Struthio camelus: one gene and its partners. The protein of the gene in region 2 interacts with the protein of the main gene of each other region in a pairwise test. Links are inferred from orthologs where the notes say so. Each region holds a gene or a part of one and is shown on either strand. Other genes may lie near its edges. The genes, in order: DUSP1, MAPK14 and SUPT20H.

Evidence for each region.
Region 1: the proteins of MAPK14 (region 2) and DUSP1 interact in binary tests that used the Homo sapiens proteins (3 or more experiments, as listed by UniProt). The link is inferred for Struthio camelus from reciprocal best matches to the Homo sapiens genes MAPK14 and DUSP1.
Region 3: the proteins of MAPK14 (region 2) and SUPT20H interact in binary tests that used the Homo sapiens proteins (3 or more experiments, as listed by UniProt). The link is inferred for Struthio camelus from reciprocal best matches to the Homo sapiens genes MAPK14 and SUPT20H.

The regions. Positions count from the first base shown.
Region 1 is NC_090954.1:8,458,517-8,466,103, reverse strand, and holds DUSP1 (dual specificity protein phosphatase 1), read left to right. Parts: upstream 1-4,507; 5' UTR 4,508-4,770; coding exon 4,771-5,140; intron 5,141-5,267; coding exon 5,268-5,416; intron 5,417-5,513; coding exon 5,514-5,733; intron 5,734-6,278; coding exon 6,279-6,652; 3' UTR 6,653-7,320; downstream 7,321-7,587. UniProt on the Homo sapiens protein: Dual specificity phosphatase that dephosphorylates MAP kinase MAPK1/ERK2 on both 'Thr-183' and 'Tyr-185', regulating its activity during the meiotic cell cycle.
Region 2 is NC_090965.1:4,986,603-4,994,186, reverse strand, and holds the start of MAPK14 (mitogen-activated protein kinase 14), read left to right. Parts: upstream 1-4,528; 5' UTR 4,529-4,772; coding exon 4,773-4,888; intron 4,889-7,584. Other genes in the region: SLC26A8 (testis anion transporter 1), read right to left, coding at 1,309-1,478. UniProt on the Homo sapiens protein: Serine/threonine kinase which acts as an essential component of the MAP kinase signal transduction pathway.
Region 3 is NC_090942.1:196,232,407-196,240,120, forward strand, and holds the start of SUPT20H (transcription factor SPT20 homolog), read left to right. Parts: upstream 1-4,628; 5' UTR 4,629-4,748; intron 4,749-4,881; exon of another isoform or gene 4,882-5,018; intron 5,019-6,354; 5' UTR 6,355-6,443; coding exon 6,444-6,446; intron 6,447-7,714. UniProt on the Homo sapiens protein: Required for MAP kinase p38 (MAPK11, MAPK12, MAPK13 and/or MAPK14) activation during gastrulation.

The DNA of each region.
Region 1 (7,587 bases), on a different chromosome or scaffold from region 2:
CCGTGCACAGAGATTCTCCTATGCAGGGCGATGATGAAGGGGCTTTTATTATTCCACAGTTACGTACCCATCCCCTGGCTGTGTCCTCAGTCAAAATACCTGAGCTGCTACACCAACCGTTTTGGGCTCAGCACGGGGCAGTTGTGCAGCAGACGTGGCGCGCGGCGCTCAGGTCAGCCTAGGTTTTCAGCCTCCCTCTCCAGGAGTGAGACCCGACTCCAGAGCCTCCTTCCCCGCTGCCGGGACTGGCCTCCTAATTTACCGACCTTATCACCCCTGGCATTAAGGATATGGGGCAGTTCAAACTCAGACCCTGGCAAAAGGGTTCAGCCTGAGGATTTAAGGATGGAAAAAATAGTGTTTTCACTGTAGTACTAACTCATCAGTAATTTTTTATTGTTCATATTCTGCTTGTTGTATCCTTTCACTGCTGGAGCCTTTTCTTTCTCTCTTTTCTTCTTCTCTTTCTTTTGCTTTCTCTTTCTCCCCTTGTTTTTTTCTCTCCTCTCTTTCTTTCTTCCTCTCTTTCCTTTTCTTCCTTCCTTCCACCCTTCTGTCCTTTTCCTCTTTCTTTCCTTTCCTTCCTTTTTCCTTTTTTTTTTTTTTTGTGAATGTGGGTGTCTCTGTACAATCTGTCCAAATATTTACAAAAGGAAATGCTGGGTTGTGAAACTGAATTCGGAGAAAATGTTACACATGCTGAAGAAATGCATCCAGCACAGTTTCCAAATTTTCCCACATGCATTTTTGTTCTCTGTCTCAAGTCTCAAGGCTTGATCTTGCATATCTTTATTCAGGCAAAACACACGCTGAGGGCAGAGAGGCACAGGCTCGGGTCATCTCCGACGGCGCTGTAATCCAGAGTTTTCTGGAACGTTTCAGGACTGATTTTGGCCATGGGTGACCAGTTCCAAAGCCTGAATAACCAGTTTTACTGGGTAATCAGTTTGTGCAATGGGCCAATTGCAGGCACGGAGTTATCTAACCTTGTCCCCAAGTTGTTAATGAATTGGCCTCAGTGCCAGTCCACGCAGAGGCCGTCTGCAGATCTCCAGCGTCTTCACAGCTAAACATCAGCCAGGCTGGACTGGGAGACCTGCAGGCTCCGAGAAAAGCTCTGAGGGCTCCTGTCCCACTGAGACTGAGAGAAAACACTCAACAATGACCTTATGGAAAGGGGGTGAAGTCGTTTTCCCAGGAAGCGGGAAAATCCTGTGGAGCTCTCATGGCATTATAGGCTTGTGAATACTCTGGCAGAGCAAGGGGGGAGCTGCAGCCCCCCAGGCCAGCCCTAAAGGGGCCGGGACCCCAGCAGCAGGTCCCCACCTGCTAAAATAAAAGCCTCGCCTCCCACCTCCACACCCAGGGCGCAGCACTTCATGCTGCTGTTTCTATTATTATTCGTACAATGACATTGTGGCCTGAATGCAAACACGGATTTGTTTTGGAGGAAGGGGTTAATTTTGTATTTCCTGGCTTTTGTTAACATAGGAAATCAAACCCTTAAGAAAGTCGTTCAGGTCAGCCTGAGCTCCTGTAAGTCACTCTAGTTTTGTGTTGTGTTTTCCTTTCTTTCATTTTTATAGCACCTTAGTCAAACAAAGAAGGAAAATAGAGTAAAGCAAGGAAATAACTAGTCCAGCATTATAAGCGCTTAAGAACACACTGCCCCATGTAATGATTTTTTTTTCTTTCTGATTTGCAGCGGGTGTAAATAAAACCAGATTAAAGAGTCTCATAATTACATGACAAACCTATCAAAGAGCAATTACTGCCATCGCGTACGTTGCGGGTGCAGGCTCCCCTCCCCTAAAGGCATCATCTGAACGTCTTCCCTGCGCGGCCTCAGAACAGCCAAGGTATCTTGCCCTTATTTAACGTTTGTATAATGTTAGTTGGCAACACAACTGGAAAGGTTGTTCTTATCAGGAGCGCTTTCTCAGTTAGCCATGCAGATGGCGGATACGGCACTTACTTTAATCTTGGGGAAAGCTGAAGCTGCCAAACGGGGAAAAAATACGCCTCTTAGTTTTGTTTTGTGTGGGACACCAAGAAGAAGTTGGGACAACAGGAGAGAACATTGTCAGCCGCTCACAGTCACTTGTGCCTGTGAGCCAGGCTGGCTCTCTGCCGACAGGGAACGGGGGCTCAGCACCGTTGGAAATAGTGTCTTCCCATTAAGGCATTCAAGGGAAGTCGTCCAACCCGCGCTCCTGGTGCTGGAGCGCGCAGGCCTTCGGGCTTGCGGCAGGAGCTCAGCACCCTGGTGACACCCGTCGCTGGAGGACGGTGCCTCTCCCAGCTCGCCAAGGCCTCGCGGCTGCAGCCGGGCGCCGTTCCTCACCTCCCCGAAGCTGCCGCGGGGCCACGACCGCTCCCGCCTCGCTCTGTAGCGGAGCAAGGTGAAGCGAAGCCTCCGTGTGAGTTTACAGAGAGGTCACAGTCTGATGTCAACCTAGGGGAATCCTCTCTAGGAGAAGGTGACGAATAAAGCCCAGTGTAGTGGTCCTCTGCCGTACGGGACGCTGCGGCAGAGAGTTGGCCGTCAGTCGACCGCGGCTAATTCCTCCTGCTCGGTGGCCCGGAAGGAGAGCGCTGGAGGCTGCTGTTCGGACATCGCCTGGGAGGTGGCCAGAGCTCGGCCGTGAGCCCTCGCTGCCGAGCAGGCGGCCGCGCGGCGGAGCGCCGTCATTTCCCAGCACCGAGGCGTACGAACGTTTCTCTCGCAGCCTGTTTCTAACTCGCTGGTCGAAGAACAGCAATAAACAAGGCAAAAGAAAAGCGCAATCCGCGCTTTGTTTTTAAGGACCGCGTTGGAAGAACAGATTCGCCGTGAGGCTGCAGTTGCGGCGCAGAAGCCGGAGCTCAGCGGAACGGAGGCAGCTCTGCGGTGACGGCGCGAGCCGGAGGGGCCGCGCGCCCGCCGACGCCGTCCCCCGCGCGGCCCTCTCTCCCCCCGCCCCGGGACCGCCTGCAGCCCGCCGCCGCCTGCCCGTGGCTTCAGTTGCTCGACGGGCTGAGCAGACGGAGATGCCGCCTTGGAAAGCAGCAGCCCGGGGAGGGAAGCGAGAGCAGGGACCGGCTGGCAAGGGCGAGGGAAGAGAAACGCGGCCGGGCCAAGCGCTCGGGGCAGAAGGAGGGATGGCTGCGGCAGGGCTGGGGCGGGACGCGCTGGGAGCGCGCCGGTGGGAGCGGGGCGCCCGAGGGACGGGGCCGGCAGGCCGGGGTAGGAGCCGGCAAGGAGACGGGGAAGTGAAAGCAGCAGTGACTGGAAGCCCTGAGTAAGAAACACCCGAGTGCTGGTGGAAGCTGATCGCCCACGGGGAAAAGAAAACTTTTCCCAAACTTGTACTACTTCATTGCCAGTTACTTGGTAGCTCTAATTTCTGGGGAAGTTTTCTGTACGGAAATCCAACTTTGTGCAGGCTGTAGGTCTATTACATATCTTTTCCTCACACAAAACATGATGGGAACTGTTCTCAAATATATGCTTATAATACAAATATATATGCAAATATAATATATTTATATGCATCTATTTATGTGTATTTATCTGCCTGTACATGTCTGTACGGGTATGTATGAATATAAATACATGGATGGGTAAGCTCGTCTCTTTGTGAGCATGTTTGACGAGAATAAACACGAACACACGCCTCCCTAGAGCATCCGCTCACACTGGTGCTGCCCCAGGGTCCTTCCCACACCCTCAGCAACACTGGTCATGGCAGAGGACGGACGGGGACCACCACTGGCTGGGAGGGGACAAAGGAGCCCAGCCCCCACCCTGCCCTGGGAGCCCGTGGGCACCGGGCTGCGTGTCTGTGGGGGTGGGGGGGAGCGGGGTGTGTGTTTAAGTGTATTTGTACGTGCATTTACGTTCTGGGGTAGTACATGTCTCTGTATGTGACTACGCATGTGCATGTATGCGTGTATATATGCATGTGTGCATATGCATATATGTATGGGTGCACATGTGCGTATGCATATATGCGTATGTATATGTGTGTATGTTTATATGCATGTGCATATACATGTGTGTGTGCAGGTCTGTGTATATATGCACGTATCTAGGTGCGTATGTATGTTATGTGTGAGTAGGTACATGCATGTGTATGTATGTGTGTTTCACATATGTGTGTATGCATGCGTGTGTAAATACATGTGTGCGGGGGCAGGCATGTGTATGTACATACAGGTGTGTCTGTAGGTCTGTGTGTGAGTGTGGATACGTGTGTGCCTGTAGGTATGTGTATGTGTAGGGGTGTATGTGTATGACTGTGTGCAGGTACACGTGTAGAGTGTATGTATGTATGTGTGTATCCGTGGGGGGGGTGAGTGCATGCAAGCGTGTGTGCGTGTCTGTGTCTGTGTGTGTCTGTGTGCCGGTCCCTCTGTGTGTATGTCCCTCTGTGCGAGTCCGTCTGCCGCCGGGTCCGTGTGGCTGAGCGCGCGGGCGGGCGCGCGCGCGCGCCGCGCTCCGGCCGGCCCCGCAGCACATGACGTCATCGCCGGCCGGGCTGGGCGCGCCGCGGCTGGCGCGCCGCCAGGTGACGTCTTCGCGGAGCGCTCACGTGACGCGGCCCCATTGAGAAAACGGCGGCGGCGCGGCGGCGCGCCGCGATATAAGGCGGGCGCGGGCGTACGGGGCCGGGCTGCTGCCGGGACGCGACACCGACACCGACACCGACCCCAGTGCCGACCGGCCGCCCGCCACCCGGGGTCGCCTCCCTTTCTTTTCCTTTGCTTCCCTGCGCGCTGCCGCGGGCCATGGTGAACCTGCGGGCGAGCGCCCTGGAGTGCGAGGCGCTGCGGGGGCTGCTGCAGGAGCGCGCCGCGCAGTGCCTCGTCCTCGACTGCCGCTCCTTCTTCTCCTTCAACGCCTCGCACATCCTGGGCTCCTGCAACGTCCGCCTCAGCACCATCGTCCGCCGCCGCGCCAAGGGCGCCGTGGGGCTGGAACACGTCGTGCCCAACGAGGAGCTGCGCGCCCGCCTGCGCCAGGGGCTCTTCCACACCGTGGTGCTGCTGGACGAGCGCAGCGCCGACCTGGAGCTGCCCAAGCGCGACAGCACCCTGATGCTGGCCCTCAGCGCCCTGTGCCGGGAGGCCCGCGGCGCCCGCATCTGCTTCCTCAAGGGTGAGTCTCCCCGCCGACCCCCGACGCCGCCGGCTGCCCCGCCGCGGCCGCCCCGGCCCCCCGCGGGCCTCGGGAGCGCCGGGGCCCCGCGGCGCTCACCGCGGCCTCTCTCCGCCCGCTCTTGCAGGGGGGTACGAAGCCTTCTCGTCCGCCTGCTCCGAGCTGTGCACCAAGCCGGCCGCCCCGACGGGCCTCAGCCTGCCTCTGAACGCCGCCAGCGCGCCCGGCAGCGCCGACTCGGGCTGCAGCTCCTGCGGCACCCCGCTCTACGACCAGGTGAGGGGCTCTGGGCGACGAGGGTGGGGGGGGGGTCGGGGTGGGCTGCCTTAAGATCACAGCGAGACTAACTGCTTCTCTGTCCCTTCTGTTTCAGGGTGGGCCCGTGGAAATCCTGCCGTTTCTCTACTTGGGCAGCGCGTACCATGCCTCCCGCAAAGACATGCTGGATGCTTTGGGGATCACAGCGTTAATCAACGTCTCTGCTAACTGCCCCAACCATTTTGAAGGGCACTACCAGTACAAAAGCATCCCGGTGGAGGACAACCACAAGGCAGATATTAGCTCCTGGTTTAATGAGGCGATTGATTTCATAGGTAAATGAGCTCTTTACAGCCTGCTTTTTTTTTTTTTCCCCCAGGGATAATGTATCCCAATTGTTGGGAAGCAACCCCAGTGCTCCCCTGCCATCCTCCCCCAGCCCAGGCTACATCTTGCTACATTGTATCCCGGGGGATTTCATTCCATAGAGGAGATATACTTAGGGAACATTCCCATTAATTTTATTCTACTAGGGGTGGAATAATCCTGGCTTTAAAAAGCTGCTTGAAGTACTGAATCAAGAGGCATAGGTCTTACAGAAAAGAGCTAGCGAATTTAAGCGGATAAGTCTTAAAGTAATCTTGCAAGAGCAGTAAAGTGACCCGGAGGAGCTATTAGGATAATCGGAGTTGGAGTTCAGAATGAAAATAGCTAGACTGCTGTTTGCTTCGGGACAAAGGCTCCCTTTGTCTCCGAAGCACCCTGCACACCTATTAGGCTAAGGGAGGGATGGACTAAAATGTGAAACAGTAGCCTGTGCTTTCCCACCTTTGGAAGCAGTGGGGCTTGTTTGCTAACTGTGTGTTTTTAATTCTTTCAGACTCTGTTAAAAATGATGGTGGAAGGGTATTTGTGCACTGCCAGGCTGGCATTTCCCGGTCAGCAACCATCTGCCTTGCTTATCTCATGAGGACCAACAGAGTCAAACTAGATGAAGCCTTTGAGTTTGTGAAGCAGAGAAGAAGCATCATCTCCCCAAACTTCAGCTTCATGGGACAGCTGCTTCAGTTTGAGTCCCAGGTCCTTGCCCCGAACTGCTCAGCAGAAGCTGGCAGCCCTGCTATGTCTGCTGTATTGGACAGAGGAGCATCAACCACAACCGTCTTTAACTTTCCAGTCTCCATCCCTGTTCACACATCGTCCAGTGCTTTAAGCTACCTTCAGAGCCCCATCACCACTTCTCCAAGCTGCTGAAAGGCAGGTGAAAACATGATCAGAACTCTGACTTCTATTGTCTCAGAAGTGCAATAACTATGGGGACAGTGTCATCGGTCACTTGCATTTTTTGGGGGGAATCCATCCATCCCAGAGCGCTGCTGTGAGCGGACAGGAGCTCGCCTGACTCCAGAGAACTAGGTGTTACCAACTTTTTTGTTGATATTTTAAGCCAATATCTGGATGTCTACGTAGAGATCAAAAAACATTGTCTTTTCCTGAGCTGTTCCTTGTCTTCTGTCTGTTCTAAGCCTGCTCCCTGTTTAGTAGCATACATACCAGTATTCCCGTTCCTGGACACTTCAAGCAACACTGATGCTGTCCCCTGTAATATGACAGTCCTCCTATTTATTTATTTTTACATTAATGCATTTTTTGCCTTCACAAACCTAAGGCTTCATTTCTAGAGAAACAAAATACCTCAGTATTTTTTTGGTACTGTAATCCTGTATATATCTGTCAACTCTTCTAGTTTCCCAAGCACTGACATGAAAGCACCAGGCGAGTGCTTTTTTGAGTTGCCAAGGGTTGTATGTTTGCTGATTATTTATGATGTGAAATAATATATTTCTTCTTATGAAGACATAGTTTTGTTACATGATTACAACTTTTTATACAAACAGAATAAATTATGATATTTCTATTGAGCTGCATATGTCTTTCAAAATTTCACTGTCTCAAAACTCCACTTGGGTGTTCCCAGATGAGCTGTAAGAAGTCTGAATTTAGGACTCTGCTGCTGAGCTTGCTGACTTCAGGCAATGCAATTAGACAGTGTCCTGACTGAGCAAGATGGAAAATGGTTTTAAAGACAAAATACTTGACCAGAAACTAGCTTTTCTTCCTGAGCTGAGATCTCCTGTGATCTAGGAGAAGGCTGTGACTTGGCCTGTTTTGTGCCCATGTTGTTATGC
Region 2 (7,584 bases):
AGATCTCATTTTCACAGAGATTAATCTTGATGACAAGTCTTGAAGATGAATGAAAAACTAGAAAACACAGTAGCAACTCAAATTGTGATTTCATTTGCCACTTACCACCAGAAAATTACTTCACAGTAGCATAAGTAAAACACAATCCACAGTTTTAGGCTGCAGTTCCACACATAGCTGAGCTGATAACAAGAGCTAGCTATACAGAAGGAGGGAGGTCTGACTCCCTGTCTTTCCCTGCGCGGTCCTGTCCCTTCTGGCTGCAGCAAGCTGTTGCAGCAAGCTCACCACATCTTGTGGAAGCTCACCCATGGCTAGCCTTGGTCTCAAGTCCTGCCACAGACCCAGAAAAACGCTTTATGTTTCAGTATACATTTTAGTTCTTGTGAACTGCTGAAAGAAAGCTCGGATAAATGACGAATCAGAGATTTTGTATTTGCTTTCTTATGAGGACTGTGCAGAGTAGACACAGCCATAACCATTGCCAGTCCACTCAGGATCCAAAGAAAGAAAACAGAGTATTCACAATTAAACAAAACTGAAAGGGAAACTGATGAAAGAGCTTCCTATTTTTGATTATATCTGCCTTGCTGGAAGAACATCAGGAATTCTCATATGCTGCCAAATGAGACTGCCTTCTGGCGTGCCTGCAGCCTGCAGGGCTCCTCTGGAAGAAGAGCTGCTTCTAACCCCAGTACAATGCCCAAAAGAGAATCTTGGCAGATAATGTCCCAGAATGGGAAAACCAGGCTGCTGAAGCATTAGTGCTATATCGGTGCGCTTGCCTCACCCCATTATTCTCAAAGAACACAGGAACACAGCTCCAAAATAAAGGAAAAGCACTTCAGTCAATCTCAGTCTTACCATTATGCAACTATCCATGTTCCCAACTAAGAAGGAACAGAAAATGGGTCTTGAAATGTAAGAAACAAAAGTAGCAAAAAACACAAACCAGAGAAAGCAGATGCAAGCTTGCGTATTGCAGCTGGGCAAAGGGAAGCGCTGGAGGGGACCGAAACTATTGGCAGTTTCTCTCTACAGTGCATCTATCCCTCGTGCTATCAGAGTCCTCAAGTGAACAGAAACTTTTGCAGACTGCAAATAGCCGCTTTCATAGTGCAGTGCTAAGCTGATCTCTCATGCTTCAGGTGTGAGTTGCCAGAACTGGGTGTTCTGCTTCAGTTATCAATCAACACACTTCAGCATTTTAATTGCCAGCAGTGGAAAGTTAGCGCCTTTTATTGCACTTGGGCTTGAAGAGTCTCCTTAGTTTCTTCGCATCTACCAAATTCCCTGCATATAACTCACCTGCATTGGAGCCGTCGGTGGACTCGAGGAATTTGTATTTCTCCACACAAGGTAGAGGAGAGGTTTCTTTCAAAGTAGGTCTGGAAGTGCTCCTCAGTTTGTATTTCTCTTTGGACCCTGTATACTGTTGGTTGTCTATCTGCCCTAACGATATCATCGTCTAGCTCCATATAGTCCTTCTGATCATGGACAGTCAAAACCGGAGGAACAGCAAATGCTGGAAGCCAAAATCAAAGAGCTTGTTCTTGGCACTAGGGCTAAAGGAAAGAAACAGGGTCATTGACTGAAGTCTCGCTTAAAAACCAAAACAATAAAAAGCATAATATGTGATCAGCCCATCCCAGCATAACTCCTGTGGAACCAATAGTCAACGCAGGGATAAGCAAGGCTTTGGAGACTGAAATCCATGAAGGACCTGCTGCTCTTAGGATCAGATAAATCAATCGCCAAATCACTCTCAGCAATACTGGGTCCTTCTGGAACCGGGCTTGTTCCAACTCTGTGGGAAGGACCAGCCTGGATCCCCTCCATTTTGTGATCCCAAAATCAGGCCTGTGTTTAGAAAACTGGATCCCGTCCCCCTCCGCAACCCAACTGCAGCTGGGGAACCAGTTCTAAATCTCCTCGTTTCTAGCCCTGGAGGAAAAAGATCTAGATTTGAATCATACAGGGAGCAGCTAAATCTGAGTTGCAGCATATAAACGCTGTGTAAAATCTATATTTGATACAGTTCAGGTTTTATAATCCTCAGAATGTCTGACTCCTATTCCTTAGTATTTTAATACCAGGAAGGAGATTTGAGTTCAATCTCTGTCACTCAGCGTAGGTAAGACGTGAGCTCCCTAAGGGAATACCGAGTAAGCAAAGGTCCACTGCAAGACAGGATCTGAGGCAAAGATCTTATACAGACAGCCGAGGCAAAAAAAAGATTCAAATCCAGAATTTCCAAGTGAAAGTACAGAGATTACACAAAAAGCAGGGTGATGACACATAGTAACATATAGGGAAAGAGGAAATATTAAAAGGCTGTGAGTTAGCAGTAGGACTCTATTCAGAATGTAGTCCAACTGTAGCAGAACTTGTAACAAAAAAAATGCATTGGGATTAAAGTTTCCTCTTCTTATTTCATTTCCTGAACTGCCAGGATCAGTGTACAGGCCTAGCGGTTTGCATCACTGAGCCATGCTACTTCTCATACAGCAACAGGGACTCTTGACACTGACTTTCCTGTCTTGTGAGACACAGCCACAGACGTGTACACACACCCCAGTCATTCTAAACCCCAGAAAGAGCTGGTGGTAGGAGAGTCTCAAACACACTCCATCATTAGGGCACAGTTCCTCCCTCTTCTTACAGAGAAGATAAATCTAGGTCTTCCACAGATAGATTTAAGAGCCATTTGTGTTCGTTTGATCTTCAGACCCAGTACAAGTTTTTAAAGCCTTACCTATTTTTGACATCTTTGAGCACAAGCACCTTTTCAAGATAAAATAACACAAGCAGCAAAACCAACAAGAGGCTAGAGTCTGCCGATGAAAGGCATTAAAAAGCCCAGCATGCCACAAAGTAAGTTACCTTTTAGACACAAGCAGTGGTCAAGTTCAGCTCTTGTTCACTCCTGTTATTTGGACTTCAACGGTGACTCATAGAGGCAGAGGACAGGGTCCCATTTTGTTAGGCTGTGTAGAGAACAAGAAGGTTTTTGACATGGGAAGCCGCCGTTTTAAAAGCAAGTTCCAGGCAGAACGTGCCTGTCTCGCACAGTATTGCGAACAAAACTCATCTTCCTCAAGCTTGAGATCCAACGGCAAAGGGCCTTATACTCAAATCCCTAACACTCTTTTATTTGCTGTGCAATTCTGTACTTACAACCTGGTGAAAACACGATGGGCTCCACTTCAAAACATGCTTAGCCTGCAGCACCTAGTGATTTCAATGTCTTAGGCGCACGCTTGAAAGTAGGCACGCACCCATCTTTGATAGCGTAAGGCAATATTACAGTACTCAGAAAATTCTCTATACGAATACAGAACTGGGAAATCTAGACAGAGATGGCTTTGTTCTCCCCATTACTGCTGGTGTAAAGCCCCTAGAAGGGGACAAAGTGCACTTGCGGGGACTACAAGGCAACCAAGACTGGCTTGCAGGACTCCAGAAGCACCAGACCTATGGGCAGCTCCAGAAAGGTCTCGATGGGCGCTTACTCCCCAGCGACCCTGCCATGTTAATCAGGGCCTGCAGAAATGCTGCGGGAAGTAAGTTTATTCATCGATTTTCCTTTTCTTTCTATTTCAAGCACGCCCTAAGGGCAACTGGGCAGCAAAGAGCGAAGGGGGGGTGTGCTCATGAAAACGCGAAGCAGGGGCAGCACTCGTGGAATTTTAGCTTTTTGGCAGCGGCCAAGGGTTATCCGGGGCCTCGGGCCCGGCCAGCCCGGTGCTGTGGGGGGCGGAGCCGGGGGGGCACCCAGGCCCCCCCCAGCACACCGCCCCCGCCCCGCCCCCTCGACGTCACCGGCGCCCTCCGCCAGGCCCCGCCCCCCTCCCGCTCTCGCGAGAAGACCCCCGCGCTGGTTCCATATTGGGTCATCTCTGCCCTGGGCGCCCCCAGCTCTCGCGAGAGCGGCCGTGCCGAGCGATTGGGCCCCAGCGTGCCGGGGAGGGGGGCGGCGGTCGCCTCAGCGCAGCCGGGGCTGTGCTGCGCTGCGCGGGGCGGAGCGGGCGGCCAGGCAGGGGGTGGGGGCAGTCGCCGTGGTGTCGCCGTCACCGTCCTACCTGCGACGGGCGTGTCCTTCTCCCCCCCCCCCCACACACCGCCACCACCGCCCCGTCTGTTGGCCCTGCGCCCCGCTGGCTGCCGGCGGGACGAGCCCCGCCGCGGCCCGCCTCACCTCACGGGGCTATCCCGCCGCTGGCGGCGCGGGGCGGGCGGCGAGGCAGCCGGGCGGCAGAGCAGGGCGAGGCGAGGACGGGGCGAGGGCACCAGGTGGGCGCGCGGCGGCTCCCAACGCCCGGGCGCGAGCGCCCCTCCCCTCCCTCCGCCGCCGCCGCCGCCGCCTTCCCCGCCCGTCAGCTCGGCGCGCGCGCCCGCTCCTTCCCCCTCAGCGCGGTGGTTGGGGGGGGGGGGGTCGGTGAACCGCCCGCGCGAGGCCTCTCGCCCCCCCCCCCCCCCCGTCGGGCGGGAGGGGGCAGCAGCGGCGCGAGGCGAGGGGGCGCGCGCGGGCGGGCGGGGCGGCGGCGGCCAACGGTCGGCGGCGTGAGGGGACGGCGGCGGCGGAGGAGAGGGCGTTGCTGCTGCACGGCTGCCTCCGCCCGCTGGAGAAGCGAGGCGGGGAGAGGGAAGAAGGAAGGAAGAAGCCGCTGCTGCTGCTGGAGGTGGCGGCGGCGGTGGTAGTGCTGCTGCTGCAACCGCGGGCAGAGCCTCCCCCTCCCGCCGGGCCGGGCGGGGCGGGCTCCGGAGCCGAGATGTCTCAGGAGCGGCCCAAGTTTTACCGACAGGAGCTGAACAAGACGGTCTGGGAGGTGCCCGAGCGCTACCAGAACCTCTCCCCGGTCGGCTCCGGGGCCTACGGTTCCGTCTGGTGAGTCCCGGGAGGGGGCAGAGCGTGGGTGTGCAGAGGGGGACGCGTCAGGCCGGTGCTTGGGCCCCTGCCCCGTCGTGCTGCGGCGCCGCGTGAGGGCGAGGAGGGCTGCCGTGCCGCCGCGGGGCTCTGCCGTGCCGGCTCCCCGCTGGCAGACCTGCCCCGGCTCGTAGGGACCCGCGGCAATAACGCGTGCAGGGCGCTCGTCGGCGAAAGCAAGCCCAGCGGAGGGGGTTTGCTTGGGGGTCCTTCTCCCCCGGCTCGGCTCAGCCTCCGCCAAGAAACACTCTTCTCCGTGGTTTCATAGCGATACTGCTGGGGAGGCACTGTCTTGTCTTTGGAATGCGTCGGATTGCACCACATGGCAGGTGGCACTAAAACATTTTTGCAGGGGGAGATAATCATGTCCCAGCACCCCCCACCCCAGCATGATCTCATATAGACATTTTTCACCGTGCCTTCTTCCAGTTACTAGGTAGGGGGTGGAAAAGGATGGAGGCTGGTAAGTCCCTGATAGCTGGCTTTGCAGAGCTGAGGGCCTGGCAGCTCTTGTTCCATTTTTTTTTTTTTTTTTTTTGCTGGACTGGAAGGATAGATCATCTATAAGGCAATTGCATTTTTAACTGAGATCTGCTGGTCGGCAGAGATGATGGCAGGAGGGCTATAAGGGCTATTTTTGCATCCCCGACTTGTAACAGCAGGTTTATGATTATCAGTGTTATTTTCCTGGTGATGGTAGATCAATGCGGGAAAACTTGTTCTCTTGCTGTAAAATGACAGAATTACTGCAATATGCGCTGCCTGGAAGAGCAAAGTCCTAGTATCAGGCTTGCAGAAACGTGGAGAATTTGGAAGTGAAGAGAGTTTAGTTTTTAATGCTTACCTACTACAAACAAAATGTATGACAGGTTACACATGCTAAATACAACAACGCTCCCTTCATTTGTAGTTCCTCTACTAAAGGATGTTGGCCCATTAAACCTAAGTTAATTGGGCTGCATTCATCACTTAAAGAAAATAAACTTGAATCAGTTTGACACCTAGACTTTAGCAATTGTATAATGGAGTCATATAAAAGTATTCATAAATTACTGTGTCCTTTTATTAAGAAATTTCTCTAATATGAATATTCTACTTTCTACTCTCTGTTCTTTTGCTCCATCAAACTATGATCAGAATTTTCTAATGCGGGCGCGTAATGCTTTGCTGCTGTATTTGAGCAGACATGCATATTTTTTCTTTAACATAATGTACAAATTGATATCAATATCATTTATGTATCATATTATGAATACCATAAAGAGGCATGCATACTGAACTGTACTAATAAAGAGTTGTTTTGCATGTGCTGCGGTTTTAAAGAAATAGAATTCTGTGCTGTTTTTAATATAGTAAGTTTAAGATAACAATGGTTTATAAAATTGCCAGTAAGTTCTGTTTAAATAACGCGTATTCTTAAAATTGTTATTCCCCAAGGGTTTAAACACATTTCATAAAAGGCAAAGGTTAAACCATTCTAGTAGCAAGATTAACTGAACGTACTCACTGAGTTTTTTATAGTAGAAAGATTTAGTTCTGTTGAAGAAGGGCCTGACTGCCCTAGTTGATAGATACCCCTTTAACTGCTCAGAGTTTCATTACTCACGGAAAAATAATAGGAAGTTAATTTGCTGAATGCCTTGTCCATTGTATTTTTAAGGTTTACCCAACACAATCTAACCCCTTCCTTTTGTCTTTTCCCCCTCCCCACAATCTCCATTGTGCTTGTAATACTTCCAATGTTTGTTTTCACAACCAATAACTGAAGAGTTTGCATCATGAATTTCCTGTTTTGTTGTGTCAAAACTTTCAAAGATTGTGCAACTGCATGCAGGCCAGATGAAACAATTTTTCATTGGAAGCAATTTCAGACATGTGGCACATTGAGTCTTAATACTGTCCATGTTGATGTTTTTCTCCTAAAAATACATATTTCAGAAAAGATGCGGTTTGGAAAGGCTAGTAATATAGAAAGTATGTCCGGATTAAAATAAAAATGGCATATATAATTTTCTTTTATCTGTAATATTGTTAAACTGCAAATGGTGATGCATGATATTTATGATATTCCTAAGACGCCTTGTTGCATTCTCTGTCCTTTTAGAGATTTTTCTCTTTCTTCCTCTTCCCCCTCCTTTTCCAGGAAAAAGTTATCTAGTTTCATTTGAGACTTTTTGTTGGGAGCACATGTATGCTGGGATAGTAAATTGCAGCGTTTTAGCCACCCCTAAACTGGATGGTTAAACATACGTCCCGGGATGTCTACTGCGTTATTGTGTTAGAATATAATAGGATGTTCTGTTGTTTATTTACCTACCAAGGTGAAAGAGTTAAAAGTGAGAAATTTCTGGAGAGTAGGGGGAAAAAGTTAATAAATAAATAATAGAGCCAGGAAATAAATCATTTAGACTACGGCGCTGTCTGCTGTAAGCTACTTTAAATGTTTAGTTTAAGTATGGCTTAGAGCACCTGTAGATAAGAACCTGACTTTATTTTGAAGTCAGTGGAGAGCGAGAGAGAGGGGCGTTTTCTTCAGGCAACTTAAGGCACCCAAGTCACATGCTTAAAGTCAGAGCAAATATTCCAATATTTTCTGAAGTGTTGTGTGCAGTCTTGGAAGAAGGATGTTCAAACAGACAACTCGGATACTTCTCAGA
Region 3 (7,714 bases), on a different chromosome or scaffold from region 2:
TTTCATCTCTACTCAAATGAGGGGGATAGTACTTGAATCATTGTATCGGCCTGAGCACATAAATCTGATTCATATGCCTGCATACCATTTCATTGTGAAACAGCACAGGGAAATGGAAAACAGCTTTGCAATTTTCTACTGGGATAAGTGTTATCACTATGGCTACAGAACTCTGACACTCTGTTTTCATGAATGCATCAAATACACCAATCAAGTAAATCTGTTTATAGACAGATAGCTATTATGAATGAAGGCTTGTTAATATTAAAGAATAATGTAATTTAGATAGATTAGCAATGAGACTGACTTCTAATCTACACTGAAATATTTAAAGCTAAAAAAAAAATCCCATTACAATACTTTGGTCTTTCAATTTTTGCATGGCTGTTTTATATTTTTACTGCCGTATACAGTCAGCAAAGTGAAACATACATACTAAAAGCTGGTTCCTATCCAAGAAATTTTGAAAAATCATAGAAATTTCATATTCAGAGTCAGTCCTTGACTAATCTTATACCGACACCTAAACTCACTCTTCCTTGTAACCTATGTGGTTTATAAACCAAGACATCAAGGGGGATAGCAGGCTTTGCAGCAGCTGCTCTTAATCTTTTCTGTAAAAATCACAGGCTCATAGGACAACTCAGGTTGGAAGGGACCCCAGGATGTCTCTTATCCAACCTTCTGCTAAAAGCGTCAACTGCGGGCTCAGACCAGGCAGTTCAGGGCTTTATCCAATCAGGATAACAGGTAGGTAAGAAAGGAAACTGTCAGAGTTTGAACTCCTTGTCCTATTACTGTACTTGAGGTTGCATGTGCAGGAGTGTACCTTTTCAAATGAATAGACTAACTTTCCCTCAGCCTCAGGAGGAAGCAAAAGAGGCATTGCAAATACATCACAGTTCATCCTGCAATACACCCTTGGAGCAGCACAGTTATTCCTTGTTCTTTCTGTGTGGCTGTGAGCATAGGATCATTTGATTTTAAAGCCAAATGCAGTGAAGAAACAATGCCGAAAGAAGTAAGCACTGATGTCAAGTTTTGTCAGTAATACAGAACAAAATCCATTTTTGAAATCCAAGGCCGAAGAGCCACACCACACTATAACTGAAGGGATGAGGAAAGGATGCACCTGAAGAGAAAACTCTTATCTGTTTAGATATGAGAACTCAAAAGTGGTGATCAACAAACCTGGATTGTCTTTTCAGATTCAGCGACAGTCAGTCTAAGTGATGGCTCTCCACTGCAGAATCCTTTACGTAATAAACTAAACTGTCCTGTAGAAGCATGGGGTAGATGGAGCCTAATCAGTTCATCTTATCTGTTACATGAGGCAGGGTACTAGACTCAAAACAGAAGGAAGTTACACTTCTTATTGAGGTCTGAAAGGGAGATGCTGTTATAAGGAGGAGCTTGGGAGACTATGTTATGCCTGGACAATAACTCTTGTTAATTTGGATGATACAATTCTTGTTGCTGTGTTGACTAGAACCTAAGAGGAGCTGACAAGATTGTAAGTCGCATTTGCTAGGGCCCCTCTACAGAGGGCTGCATAAGACTCAAGGCTGGATTTAGAGACTGTCTTAACATAGACTTTAGGAGTAAACAAAAATCAAAAGAGAGGAGTAAGCAAGGTGGCAAAATACTGTACTAGATTTTTCAGAGTAGTAAAAATGAACTCACAGCACAGAGTGACTGAGCATTAAACTAGCAGGTGAAATTCAACACGTATAATGGTCATAAAGAAGGGCTTAAACCCCAAATTGCAGGGTCTGAATCTAAAGGAGAATCCTATCCACACTTTTCAGAAACTGAAAACGTCAAACATGAGAAGTCCAGAAACTCTATTTTTAAAACTCAGCTGTTGCCTCTCATGTATGCAGCTAATTTGAATTTGTGCCTGGCTGGTGGGAATGCTGAGGGGCCACTAGTACAGAAGGTGGTGGAATCTTGCAGATGTGATGACAATGCAGAAAATCAATGCTAAGAGGGCTTGCAGAAAGGGAAATGTAGGATGCCTGTTTTCTCCAATGCCTTCCCTGTATAGCACAAACACAGCAGAGCAAAGCCAGAGGGAAACATGGGCCCGCAATATGCATGCATTTGAAATGATCCAGCTTGAACTATGGTATTATAGCTCTTCTCAGGAACAATCTACAGTAACAAGGAAGACATACCTAGAGAGTTGGAGTCACCTGAAATTAACAGGTTCCAGAGAAAAGGAATAAAAAAAAGAGATGAATTATAGCACGGAAGGAATGGGTGAAAACTGCTCCAATTATTTATTATCAACATTCCCTGTTCTGCAGAAGAAAAACTCATCATCTGGTGGCACAAATTTCAAAGAAATTTAGTCAGTAAGCCACAAGATGACTCACAGCATAATTACTTGGACAGCATCCATCTTCAAATAGATATGTAGAAGGAATGAAATAGGCAATCAAGGAGTTTTAAAAGCTGGCTTTTTAAAGGACATATGGTCCAAAAAGGAGAAAGTGAGAATGTAAACAAGTTGAAGGACAGTTGGAACAACTGTCAGGCAGTATAGATGGTTACCAACTCCCAGGACTGATTTTCCAGTTTTCTCACTGGAAAAGTCCGTAGGTTCCCAAATCAGTTCCATACCTACAGACTTGTTTAAATACCTGTTCCAAAATCTTCAAACTTTTCCATACGGATTTAAGGGAGCACAGAGAGAACACCAGACAATTGGCTTAAGCTAACTACAATCAAAAAAATTTGACTTGCTGTAAGACATTTTACGCGAAGATTTCCAAAAGCATGAATAATGGGAGAGGGTAAGCTTCACCACGAAGCCCAGTACGGGGCAGTCAATTGGGAGGTGACTACTCAGGAATCTCAAAGTTCATATTCCAAATTACCCCAGCCTGATACTTAGAATGTTTCCGAATGGAAGAGGGTGGTGAAAATGTTCACCTGGCACAATGAACAGCTAAATGACCAGGAAAAGATGTTCAGTGTTCCAGTTAATCACTGATTTTTTTTTTTTTTTTAAAAAAAAGTCTCTAAATGTAAAAACTCCTACTTTAAGCAAATATACTAAATGCCAGAAACGTATTCCAGGATTTGTTTCTCCAGTACCAGTCTTCGTTTCCCCAAAACCATCATCACAAATCCTGAAAACTTTCTAGAAGGATCAGAACATTGAGAATCCGAAGAGCTATGGGTTCTAAATAGAACCCTACCCTGATTAAAAACTGTAGCATATACTAAAAATAAAATTGAAGCTGAAGATGCTAAAGTATTTGGGCCTTAAAAAAATCATGTTTTTAGACTTGAAAGATACCATTATTTTAATGCATAAAGAACCTATGAATTTTGATGAGATTCAGTCATGAGTTGTGCTCACTTGTTCCTTTAAATTTAACAACATACAGATAGCGTGGAGCAAGTACTTTCAGGCCAAAATGTAGCTTTTCAAGCTAGTTTGCTTCTGCAGTGGTCTCATGGAATAAGAGAATTTTAGTGTTGCACATGAAACAGATTCCCCAGGTTTTAACGCTAACAGGAATGAAAACATATTTGCTACATATTTTTATAGAATTATGAAGAAATATATATTTTTTATTTACAGAGATGCTTTAAAACTGTTATAGTTTTAACGATCTCAGACTGTAGTCATACGTGTGATTGCTTGCTAGTTAGTTCCAGTGACAATCTGCAGTGAAAGAACTAACTTCCAGAACAATACATACAACTAATATATGCCAAGCAAAATAAAATAAAGTAGAATGACTACAATAGGCTTATAATAAACAACAGTAAGTGTTCAAAACCTAATTACAATACTCTTTATCATTATAATCATTGTACAAAGTTGATCATATGCTCACCATTTGTTCCATCTGTGTACAAGACAGAACATATGTTTCTGGTAAGGGGAAAAGAGGCATAAAGAAACAATACATTTAGAGAATATGCAAAATTATCTGTGATTCTGAGAAACCCAACTCTTTCCAAGGGTACCTCCTATGGCTTTTCTGAATTTTATAAAGGGTGGGGTTATTAGCAGCACAGGTATAAAATTGTCCACCTCCCTCTCTTGCATCCATTTTTACAAAACTTTAAGGGATCTCAGAGACCTATTAAGATGAAAAGGGCCAGCAGATTTTGCTGCAGAAAGGCTTGGGGGAGACCTAACGCATACACACAGCGGCACCTCCTTTCTGAAAGAAACTGAGGTAGCGTTAAACAAAGATTCCCTAGCCGTTTGCCCACCGTATCTTTCCAGAATTATCACTCTTTTAATCCTCCATTTGCTGTCCTTCCACCACCAACTGTCACTCCCTGGTATTGGAGCCAGTGGTTTCAGCGACTCGTGGCTGCCCCAAAAGCACACAATAAAAATCCTCAAATACCCTTTCGGCATTCCTGTAAGGAAACGAAATCTGCTCCAGTCTTTACAACTGCACGATGCCTGTAGAGGTACCCTACTACCACATAAAGCCAGGGAAATTAGGCACTTAAGTACTTTCAAGCCTTGAACCGAGTGTTTTCCAGAAGGCCCAGCCACCTCGCCTGCGCCTGCCGGCCGCTTCCGTCTCTATAGCGACGCCGCGCCCGCCCCGCCCCCTCGTCCCCATGGCGACCGCCCCGCCCCTTCCGCTGGCGCCTCGGAAGCGGCGGGGCGGAAGCGGCGGGGGGCGCCGCCGTGGGCCGAGGCGGGGGCGGATGAGCGGGCGGCGGGGGCAGCAGCGCGGGGGGCAGGACCCCACGTGAGGCCGCAGGTAACGGCCCTTGGCGTCACGTGCCTTCCACTCCCCCTCCCCCACTGCCGCGCGGGGGCGGGCGGCCGTTGGGCGGCAGCGGCGGCCCCTGCGCCCTCGCGCCCTCGCGGGCCGGGCCGGGCCGGGCCGGGCTGCGGGAGCTGGGTCCGACCCGCCCCCTCCGCCTCGGCCCAGCGCGGCCTCCTGGCCCGGCCCGGCCCGGCCCGGCCCGGCCCTCCCGGCTGGCTGCTGCGGTCGGTGGCTCCATCCGCTCGCTCTCCGCCCTCGCAGGTAGGCCCGTCTCTGCGGAGAAGGCGGCAGCGCCGGCGGGCGCGGAGGTGCCGTTGGCCCCGCGGCCGCCTCGCCGGATCGGACCCTCCCTCCGTGTCGGTGCTCGCACCCGCCATCTCGCTGGCCGGCGGGCGAGGTGCTCTTTCGGTCTCCCTCTTCTCGGTGCCCGTGTCGGCTTTAGCGTGAGCCAGGGCAGCGCCGGAGGAGCCGGGGAGAGGCTGCTCGGGAAAGCAGCTGGTCTGTGCGACAGGGCGGGGGACGTCCGGCGGGTCGCCCCGCGCAGGCTTCTCTTGGCCCGCTGCCTTGCCGCCCGCCAAAGCCAGCGGGTTTCGGTCTTACGGGGAGCTTTGAGTCATTTGCCTTCTGTGTATGTCTTCTGTGGAAACTGGTGCTGGGCTGAAACTACTAAGTAAGAAGGTTCTGGGAGGTTTTAGGGAGCAGACAAATATGTCATCAGAGGCCTAGGAAGCTGTGTAACTTTTGCCCGCACCAAGGCTGATGTGAAATGCAGATGCCCCAGAAATGTTTTCACAAATTAAAATGATGTTTTGTGGAAATTTTTAAATGACGGTTTCAAGTAGTGCTAGACATGGCAATGCTCAAATTTTGAAGTGAGGTTGACTTTAGTTTTCGCGTCTCTGCTGGGAAAAATGCTAAGAAGAAACTATGTAATTAGTGACAAGTAGATGGCATTAGAAAGATTTTTATTTAAGCCCATTTTGTTTAATACAAGTATCAAGCTGAGTTTAAAAATGAAACAATAAAGGGACATAGTGTGCGAGAACATCTCAGAAATGTACTTGTGCTATGAAAATTTAATTTGCGTTGCAGTTGACAGTATGCAGTGAGTCAGTATTAAGCTCACATCGCAAAGTAATGCTAGAGGCACTGCTGGTGAGGCTGTTGTCTACGGAATAATGTTTTCATAAAAGCAAGACAAAAAAGTAATAGAGTATGTTAAATATTCTGGTCGCTTGCAGTTGCATACTCTAGCCTTCTGTGCATCTCTGGACATGAAGCTTGGGGTGTTTAGGTAGACTGCGACAATAGATGATTGTACGTGGCTATATGATTTCTATTATGTGCTTATTATTACTTTATTAATTAATATCTCTGATGTAAAATGATTGTGCAAAGTCGTAGTAGTCATTAGAATAACAACTTCTGCTCTTACACTGAATGGAACCTTTATTTCTACTTTTGGATGAAGGCTACTATGCAAATGAGATTTAAATGTGATTAACAATTAGAAATGTTGAATGTAAATAACTAAAATGCTTATTTAGTTTCTTAGTGATATATATATATTTTTTTCTTTACTTTTCGGTACCCCAAGTGTGACCAAAAAAAAAAATGATTCGTTGTCTGCTGTACGAAACATCTTAAATATTCCATTTGCCGTTTGGTCACCTGGCTTCAACGACAATGGTAAGTTATGATTCAAATAATATATTTTCAGATCTCTTTTTCTCTGCTCTTCTAGCTGTGTGGATGATGAGGAGGGAAAAGCTTATTAATATTCATCATCAGCTTAGGTATTTGATTTTACTTAGCACTCCTGAGTTTCCATCATTCCTTTTTTCAGTGATGTCTTCCTTTGTAGCTTGCGTGTTCTACTCCTAAAGACTTAGTTATTGTCCAGTGCATTATAGGAATCACCATGTAAAGCTAGTGGTGTGTTTTCAGTCGTGGCTGGTATTAGACAATTAATCATGAAGTATAAACCCTACCTGCACTTATGTTTTTAGTATTCTTCTGTTCACAGGCGATATGGCTGTGGATTTTTCCCTAATGTCAAGCAATCAGTGAATAGAATATTTGAAATCATGGGATTATCCTGTATGCTTATACAGAACACGTAAATGTTTGATATATTCATATAAACACCTAAACACTTCAAAATGTAAACGTTCTGTAGTATTAGGTTCTAATGAATAATAGCACGCTATCAGTGTATGCTTTTTCTCTCAAGAACAGGTAAGAAATTCTTTAGTAGAAATACTGTGGGTGAAAGATTATAAGCCTATGTAAGTATTTTCCTGTATATTTCTTCCTTTTTTGTTTAGTATGCTTCTCTCCCCTGAATTCTGTTCTAAAGTATGAAATAACATGCGTAATCTATACTGGAGGTAGCTCATAGGCCTGCTCTTTGAGGTTTGAATAAAGGTATTTTCTTTTATGAAGAGCTGAGAGGGATGGATGTAAACTGAAGAAACAGAAAGATATATGTAAGGAGAAATACCTGTTCAAGAGTTTCTAAGCATTACTAGGGAGTGGAAGATTCTCCAAAATGTTTCTCTATACCATTTCAGTAGCACAGCCTATTTAAAAAGTTCTGGTTGTCAGGATTATATATTAGTTATTAAGTGACATCTTTTTTTTACTTTTGTTAGAGATGATCACATGTGTATTCCTTAGGACTTTGTCCATCTGCCATTGAAGTTAATGCATTGCTTCTCATTAATTTACCTGGAGCTGAATCAAGCCCTAAGCATTCTCCTGCAATACTTCAGTTCTTAGTATCTTACAAGAAAAACTAAAAGACTTGCTCTCACCTATTTTGTGTCAGTAGGACAGCAGGTACAACTGCATAGCTAATTGAATTGTGGAACTGTGCCATATGAAAAACCAGCTCAGCTAAACCAGCTTCTGTGGGTGTTTTGTGGACTGCTATCAGTAATCCGGTTCATTGAGCA